2 linked regions of the Nothobranchius furzeri genome follow. The protein of the gene in region 1 purifies or fractionates together with the protein of each later gene. This does not show direct contact. Links are inferred from orthologs where the notes say so. Each region holds a gene or a part of one and is shown in the gene's direction. Other genes may lie near its edges. The genes, in order: cep63 and fxr1.

Region 1 (4,420 bases):
ATCGTCGCACAAAACCATCGTCAAGCTGGTAGACCCCAGAAGATCACAAAAAAAAGAGTCCTCTGAGATGATCCGAGTGAGTTCCGATCTAAAAGTCTGTCGATAGGAAAGATGTCAGAGCTGATGTCAAAGTTCCAACGCTGTCTGTCTTTCAATCAAATATCTTCAGTATTAGAAACCGTTTTAAAAGGGAAGAATTTGTTTAGAACCAAATTCTATGTTCATTTCAAATACCATCAAAATGAATCACTTAAATCCTAAAGTTGGATGCTGTTGGTTTTTTTATAAGCTTGAGTGAAACACAAAACAGCCATGGTCAGATAATAGTTTGTAATAAAACAGATTACTTACAGGTGATGTGTGTATCTGCGGTGTTTTCTTTTAGGTTTGTGCAGCTCGGTGTCTGTGCTGTGAATGATGTCAGAGAGCAGCTTGCCTGCCTCCTGCTAGAGCGTCTGTTGCGTTGGTGGGGGCGAAACAGCCAAAAGCCCTCCCATGAACAGCTGGGGATGCAGAGCGGAGGAAACGCTCTTTGTTTAGTTTGAATGAAGGCAGGTGGAGAGATGGGTGAGGAAGGGGGAGTGGTAAAGGAGGGGTTGATGAACGTTCCAAAGTAGGTGATGTGTTTTGCTTTTTCCTTAACCATAACACATCCTGATAAAATGTTTCTCAAAAGACATATAAAGAAAACTTAGCACATCTGGGAATTGAACCCGGAGTCTCTCGCATTCAATATGAGAATCATACCCCTCTACCAACAAAATGCTGATGTGTTAAAGGAACATATGTATATTGTAGGTAATAAATGTTTCATGTTTTCTTGACATTTGTGCTGTTGAAGCATCGGTTCACGATGACACCTTGCTCGCGGGATTGCGGTAAAAACGGAAAAGCTATCATGATATCCCTCTTCCCTAGCCATGGCCAAGCAGATAATTTATACAACACTCACGCAGCGACACAGCGACCAATATGTTCGGACAGCAGACCGCCGAATTTTCAAATCACATTCTAAATGACCATGCTAAAAATTATGGGCTCGTCCGGGATTTGAACCCGGGACCTCTCGCACCCGAAGCGAGAATCATACCCCTAGACCAACGAGCCACGTGTCCGGGAAAGACACATAAAATAATTTAAAGTTAATTTAAAGTGATATGTAGTTTTTCTGTAAATGTACTGTTTTAAAAGTATTATTGTATTTTTACACACTATAATAGAATGTCTAATTTCATGGAATTTCAGACGTACCTTCACGTTACACGACATCTGAATCTTAAGCCGTGAGATTAATGTGTTTGTTTTTTCTTTAATTTTCCCTCCCAAACCTTATTTTTAAAGTCGAAGACCAAATAATAAATTACATTTTTTAAAATGTTGCCTACGTAAAACGTAATGAGGTCACAGTTAGAAGGCGGATGTACCGCCTTGGAACCGGAAATTCTTTGTAAAGAAAAGCAGTTGAACGCCGAATAGTGTTGTTGACGTAGCGATGTCATCAAACTTGTTTATACTCTACAACGTGCCGGTCTTAGCTTGTAAGGACAATCTGGATAGAGTCCACCGTGTTGTAGCACCTTAGCGCGCAGAGGGGACAGACGGCGCCATTTTTGAACGAGATGGAGGTTTCTTTGGAATCAATACAGAATCCTGATATAAGGTAACAGACGTTTGGTTTGTCGTGAGGCTAAGTCAGCCATCTTTAGATGCGTGTTTACACAAATGAAGTTGATAACACGCTTTAATCTTCTGCTACGCAGCTCTGTCCTGTCCTCATGCGAGCCTGAGCTGCAGGAGCTGATGAGACAGATTGACATTATGATCAATCATCAGAAGAGGGAGTGGGAGGCTGAGCTCCACGCTCTGCAGCTCAGGGTCACCAGTGGAGAAGAAGAGCTTTTAACCTCCAAGACTACCATTGAACGGAGGGATCTGGAGGTGAAGTGACGATTCATCCTTTTTTGCTCAAAAGAATCACAAAAGTAATTTAATCAACACAGAAGCTTGTAATAAAAAAGCAAGCATGCCCTTATTTTGACATGCAGCATTTTGAAGGTAACATTTTTCCATCCCATTTCCAATTCCAAACATGGACTCTCCTGCTAAAACAGTTTTTATGGCCACTGTCTCCATTTCTGGCCTCACCTAATGTTGGAGACTTACTAAATTATTCCTTAAATGATCAGAAAGCCTCTGCTATGAAGATTCGTTGTACTCTCAAAACAAAACCTCCTGCAGATTCAATTAAATGTTTCAAAAATAAATGTAAATGTGTGAGGATGTTGGTTTTAGGACATGTTTTAAACCGTAAGGAAGGAGACAGTAAATAGTTGTGGCATGAAGCATTTTATCTCTATTCCCATAATAACACCATCACCTATTCAATCAATCAATCAAACTTTATTTCAGACAAGGGATATGTCCATAACAAGAATAAAAAAAATAAAAAATAAATAAAAAAATAAAATACAAACACATTCTAATTACAAACCATATAGGCAGTTGCTCCAATGTTTAAAAAGGACTGAGGAGTACCTCGTGTCACTGTAAGATAAAGATGACAGAGCTCTAACAACCGCGTTAGCTGACAAACTCAGTCGGCAGATGAATTTGTACATGAAGAGCCTCAGAAGCGCATGAAAAGTTGGGATGTTACTCGTAACAAACATGTGACTTGCCGAAGTCCATCTAGGGAGCTTCATGAGGATTCTAAAAGCATCCTGATAAGCCACTTGAAGCTTCTTCATTACTACCTTACTATAGTTGCACCACAAGTGGGCGGTATAGAGAGGAGTACAAAAGGAACGAAAGAGGGACACTTTTACAGGATCTGAGCACATGCCAAAGTTACGTGCCAGAGTGTTAGCCTGCATGTACAGCTTACCACACTGCCTCTTAATGTCCTCGTCATCACAGAGGTCACTTCTTAAAATGTGCCCCAAATATTTTACTTTGCTTACCACTTCCAGGACCTGATTTGTTAAGTTAAAAGATGGAAAATTAAGCTTCAGGTCCCCTTTAGTAGCAGCAATCATAACCACACTCTTTTTAGGGTTAAACAGGATGTCAAATTGCTCACCATACTTAGCACATGCCCTGAGCAGCTGCTGCAGGCCTGCGCTATAGGGAGACATGAGGACTAGGTCATCTGCATATATTAAATGATTTACCAGTCGGTCACCCACCAAGCATCCAGTCTTACTAGCATTCAGAGTAACAGACAACTCGTCAAGGTACAGGTTAAAAAGGACAGGTGACAGAATCCCGCCTTGTCTGACTCCATTTGATACGGAGAAAGGTTCAGACACTTCTGTCCCCCACTTTACCTGCATCAGTTGATGAGAGTACCAGAAGTGCAAAATCCTAACTAGGTAAGAAGGGACCCCTCTGTTTTGTAGCTTGATGAATAATTTCTGATGATTGACTCTGTCAAAGGCCTTAGAGGCATCTAAAAAACACATAAAAACAGAAGTATTATGCCTCATGTATTTGTTGCAGATTGGACTTCTTCACAAGCAGCTTGAAGCCGTTCAGACGGATCGGCAAGAGTTGGTATCCAAGTACGAACAACAACTAAAGAGACTCCGTGAAGAGGTGTGATCATCTGTTTTTCCTCAAATGCACTCAGCTATATCGCTTGTATCATGTTTATTGTTAACATCGTTTCTTATAGTTGGACAAGTTGAAGAGAAGTTACCAGAAGCTTCATCGCAAACAGCTTAAGGAGACAAGTGGAGGTGGAAAGGAGACTGAGCTTGCAAAGGTGAACTAATAGATTTTCCTGGCATTTCCATCTCCTGGAATTTGATTAATCGTTCTTACATTGGTGCAGAAGCATCAGCAGCGCTCTGAGCAGCAGCGAACTCGGTACCAAAACCAGCTGACCACACTGGAGCTCCAGAATAAAAGCCTGAACCAGGAGCTTGCTCACTTAAAGGTTAAAAAGCACATTTATGACTTTCACTCAGGAAGCCAGACATATTTAGTGTATAAAAGTGTGGAAGACTGCTGCATTGTTGTTGCATTTCAGTAATATTTGTTTTTCCAGAGCCAATGGGCATCGGGGCGGGTGGAGAGGGAACACAAGGAGTGCTGTTCAGAGGTGCAGCATCTGCGTGCACAGCTGGAGAAGGCTCAGGCCAGCCTGCACTCACAGGAACTGGAACTGGATCGCCTCAGACCGCTGGAGGTGCTGTTGGGACAGTCCCAGAGAGAGCAGCAGGTTAGCAGGGCGACAGGAACATGTGAGATGTGTGGCTTCTCAGCTGGATACCAAACATCTTCCATCAGATTCCAGGTGTTTGTAACAACTCTGGAGATAAAAGTCTCACTGTTTGGACTCCAAAGGTCTTCTAAAGTTTGGACGAATTTCATTTAGGCTTTTATTACAGCTTCCATCCAATCACGTCATTAAAGCTGC
Region 2 (3,817 bases), on another chromosome or scaffold:
GGGCCTCTACGTTCGTTTTTTGGACTTACAGGGAGAGAGAACGAGGCGCTCGGCCACAAAGAGATGGTCGTAGAAGGCCGGGACCTGGCAGAGGTCGAGGGGGACCTGGAGGAAGGGGGAGAGGAGGCAGAGGAGGATACAACTACAGTTCTGGTAAAATTCACCTTAAGGCTTGTCCTTCTGAAGCGCACCCAGTCACCTGCTGTCTTGTGTAACTGCAGCCTGCTGTCGGTCATTCTGAATATAATTCTGCAGCGCCTCGGGACCATGACAACTACCAACCCTATGGAACCTTGGAGGCAAACACTGAGACGGACCAGACAGCTGACACCGATGCCAGCGAGTCCAACCTGCCAGCAAACCGCCGCCGAAGGTCACGGCGTCGCAGAACAGATGAAGATGCCACTCTGATGGATGGCATGAGCGAGTCTGACAACGCCTCGCTGAGTGAAAATGGCTTAGGTATGGAGGATGGATGAGTCGTCTTTGAATGTAATCAGAGTGGCATTGCTAGGTGTTGTCATCAGAGCAGCATTTTGACAGTAGGAGAAGCTTCTGCAGTTTACGGTAGCGTTTAATGTTGAAGACACCAATCATTCTGCTTTTGAAAACCTAAAACTCCTAGATGTAAAACCTCAGCGCCGCAACCGTAGCCGGCGTCGCCGCGCCCACCTGCCAGAGGAGAGGCAGCCAGGTAACCAATGGCAACCGCTGGTGTGTGTTCTCCAGGCTGCAGCTTTAGTGGCATCAAACAGAACACTGCATACTGAGCTGCAGGTGCAGAATTAACTGGCATGAGCGTTGTTGGCGGTTTTGGAAAACTAAGAGGTTTCTTCTTGTCCAACAGCATCTAACAGTTGTGCTTCTATTAAAATGCGAGATTTGAACCACTGCTTTTCCAGCCTGAACTTGTTTTACTCTAAACTCACTATCTGCGTTGCGATTCTGCCGTAGCAAAAGTTACATTTTTAAGTTAACTTAAAATACTTAATCAGTCCTCGCTGATGTTTGTGTCCGGTGTTCCCGACTCTGCAAGCTTCACTAATGTCTGTGCGTTGTAATTTGCACAAATGGAAGTCCTACTGATGTTGTGAAAACTGGGGCGGATGTGGCATAAGTTCTCTGCCCCGGTGCCTTACCAGAGGTGTTGTGGTGTTTGTGCAGTGACCGTGGCTGACTACATATCCAGGGCTGAATCTCAGAGCAGGCAGACAAACACCAAGGACACAAAGAAACCCAAGGATGTGGTCAGTACCGCCATGCTGCATGTGACTGCCGACAGATGTCCGTTAGTTTCTATAAAGTGGTAATTCTGGTAAAGTGAGCATCTCTGGTGTTCGACTGAGAATCTCTTATTTTAGAAGCAAGAAACTGTCTTATAGAGCTGAATGATCACCTGTTTTCTGGTCGACAATTCGATTTCAGACAAACATAATCGGCCAATGCCAGAGCTGAAGGAGCAAAGCTTCGGCTCCTTTTAAGCCGGGCGCACACCGTGCGACTTTTTCACTTTTTTGAGCCGATTTTCCACTCGTGCGAGAATCCACGACATCGGGGCGAGTTTTGCGCTGAGCGTCGTGTAGTGTACAGGGGGTTACGAGAGGCGATTAACACCACGTGACCAGCTACCGATCAGCAATCGTGAGCTCGCACGGACTTCTGGCGTGTTTGATATTTTGCTCGTCCCTCGTGAGGGTATCGCACTGTTGAAGCAGCGCTGCGACCCAAAAAGTACCAGAACCGCTCACGGCGCATGCGCAATCCTGCATCAACACCGCTCGCCCGCTATTTCCCTAATAACACACGCTGTTCGTTTTTATTTCTAAACATTTTTTTACACACAATGACAAATATTGTCAATAAAGCGTGTTTGTCGTGTTCATGTCAAATTAAACTGATAACAAAACACAGATTTACTTTATTTTGTTTTCCTCATCCAACCCCCATAAATCCCCGTGTGTCCTCCTGCAGGACTCCCGAAGGACAACAGGCAAAACAAGACAAAAAAGTCTGACGTGTTGAGTAAAAACTGCTTTTTTTAGCATATTTTTAGGGCCGACGTGTTGCTACCAGACGTACAGTGTGAGCAGTCAGGTCGCATCCGAGAACTGGGTCGTACAGCGTGAGCACATGACTCGTGAGATCTGCCCTGCGAGGAAGTCGTACAGTGTGAGCTGAAGATGAGTGCTACGAGTGAAAAAGTCGCACAGTGTCCGCCCAGCTTTAGTTGTTTTTTTTTTCCTGTAGCGCTGCGCAGGCCCATGTTTTTTATATCTGGGTTCCTGAAGCAGCAGAAGGGGATTTATCGTGGTAAGACTGCAGCCGTGGAAGCTCAAGTTCTCTTCTTTCAAAACCTGTTTGAACGTTTCTGATGACACAAGCCTTTGCAGAGTTAGGGTAACTCAAAGCTAGCCTGTAAAATGCGTCGGCGTTGGTTGTAACGGCTGCTTTTGAGTGAAGAATCATTCAGGCGGCCCTGAAGAACATCCAGTTACCTTCAGATTTCATCCTTAGTGTTAGCTTTAATGCTTTGACGGTGTGATGTCGCGTTCGGCCATGTTTGTGAGTGATTATGTACTTAGTGAATTTTGTGCTGAAGCTTGATTTGAAGAAAGTCGTAACTCAAATGAAACTTTCTATCAGAAAAATGGCAGTGCGGTCATTTCCTAAACGCACTTTAGCTGAAAACTTCCTTTCATCTATCCAGGGTCAGGTGGAGGCTATTGCTGAGCACAGTCCGCAGTCTGCTCCGCCAACCACCAACGGCTCGAGCAACGGCGCCACCAAGTCTCCCCCTGAGAAGCCCGCCAAAGCCTCTCACACGGAGGACTCGAACCCGGAACCTGTCGTTAACGGACTCTCCTAGTTAGACCGGAGCAAAGAAAACGGTTTCAAATATTTGGACTCCTTTGGGGATACTTGGTTGCGTCTCCATGGCGAGGCGTCAAAGTTTACTAAACATTTAAACACAACAAGCACTGTCCTTTTTATTACTTAACAAATATTTGAAACCTGTTCTGCAGCACAAGACCGTAACCTCTCATTTACACCTTTATCTGTTCAACTGTTCATTTTACTAGTTAGTTTTCTTTCTCAGTAGTTCTTCCAGTACGAGCTTGCCAAAGATAGTCAGACACATGTTTAGGGACACACACACACACACACACACACACACACACACCTCTTTAGCTTGCTCTTCACCGAGAGCTCCGATGGAGGTTTGGCTGAAAGCAGTGTTTATACAACGCAGACAGGAATTCCTCTCAAATCCATTCTGTGGTGTGAATGCAGCAGTTTGTTTTTTTAATTCTGGCAAAGTTTTACAACGATGCCTGTTTTTTTGTCGCGTGGCAACATATTTTTTATTTTAGTTTTGTCTTCTCCAGGATGCTTTTTCCATCCGAGGTAGTTTGAAAAGTGAACATCTGCATGAGCCTTACCACGCTGCAGATAGGTTTGTCGCAAACTCAAGTAGAATTGATTCACGTGTGATCAGCTGTTGTGCCTTGAGAGTAGATTCAACATGTTGCTGCCTGGCTCTGCGCTCCACCTGAAATCCTTCCACATCTCTCCGCGTGACCCGGTTTCCCTCACCTGCCACAGACGAGGCGTCTCCGCTAGAGGCCGGTGAGGGCGAACCCTCAAAACGCCCTCAAAGGATTTCAGAGCCATCTCTCTAAAATCAGGTGTCTGCTCTTAATGTTGTGGGGGTGGGGTGGGGTGGGGGGGTCCCGTTATCCTTTATATATTTATCTGTTGAGGAGTTTGACATTAGCTGCTTCCTGTTCTTTAATATGCAACCACTCTGATCATAGGA

What was found.
Region 2: the proteins of cep63 (region 1) and fxr1 purify together in Homo sapiens (co-immunoprecipitation; 3 studies listed by BioGRID and IntAct, with this or other methods). This does not show direct contact. The link is inferred for Nothobranchius furzeri from reciprocal best matches to the Homo sapiens genes CEP63 and FXR1.

The regions. Positions count from the first base shown.
Region 1 is NC_091756.1:60,714,924-60,719,343, forward strand, and holds the start of cep63 (centrosomal protein of 63 kDa), read left to right. Parts: upstream 1-1,466; 5' UTR 1,467-1,619; coding exon 1,620-1,660; intron 1,661-1,760; coding exon 1,761-1,938; intron 1,939-3,498; coding exon 3,499-3,594; intron 3,595-3,673; coding exon 3,674-3,763; intron 3,764-3,832; coding exon 3,833-3,937; intron 3,938-4,048; coding exon 4,049-4,222; intron 4,223-4,420. Other genes in the region: im:7152348 (tripartite motif-containing protein 3), read right to left, coding at 1-18. UniProt on the Homo sapiens protein: Required for normal spindle assembly.
Region 2 is NC_091748.1:72,983,572-72,987,388, reverse strand, and holds part of fxr1 (RNA-binding protein FXR1), read left to right. Parts: intron 1-31; coding exon 32-153; intron 154-255; coding exon 256-462; intron 463-625; coding exon 626-694; intron 695-1,164; coding exon 1,165-1,247; intron 1,248-2,707; coding exon 2,708-2,866; 3' UTR 2,867-3,817. UniProt on the Homo sapiens protein: mRNA-binding protein that acts as a regulator of mRNAs translation and/or stability, and which is required for various processes, such as neurogenesis, muscle development and spermatogenesis.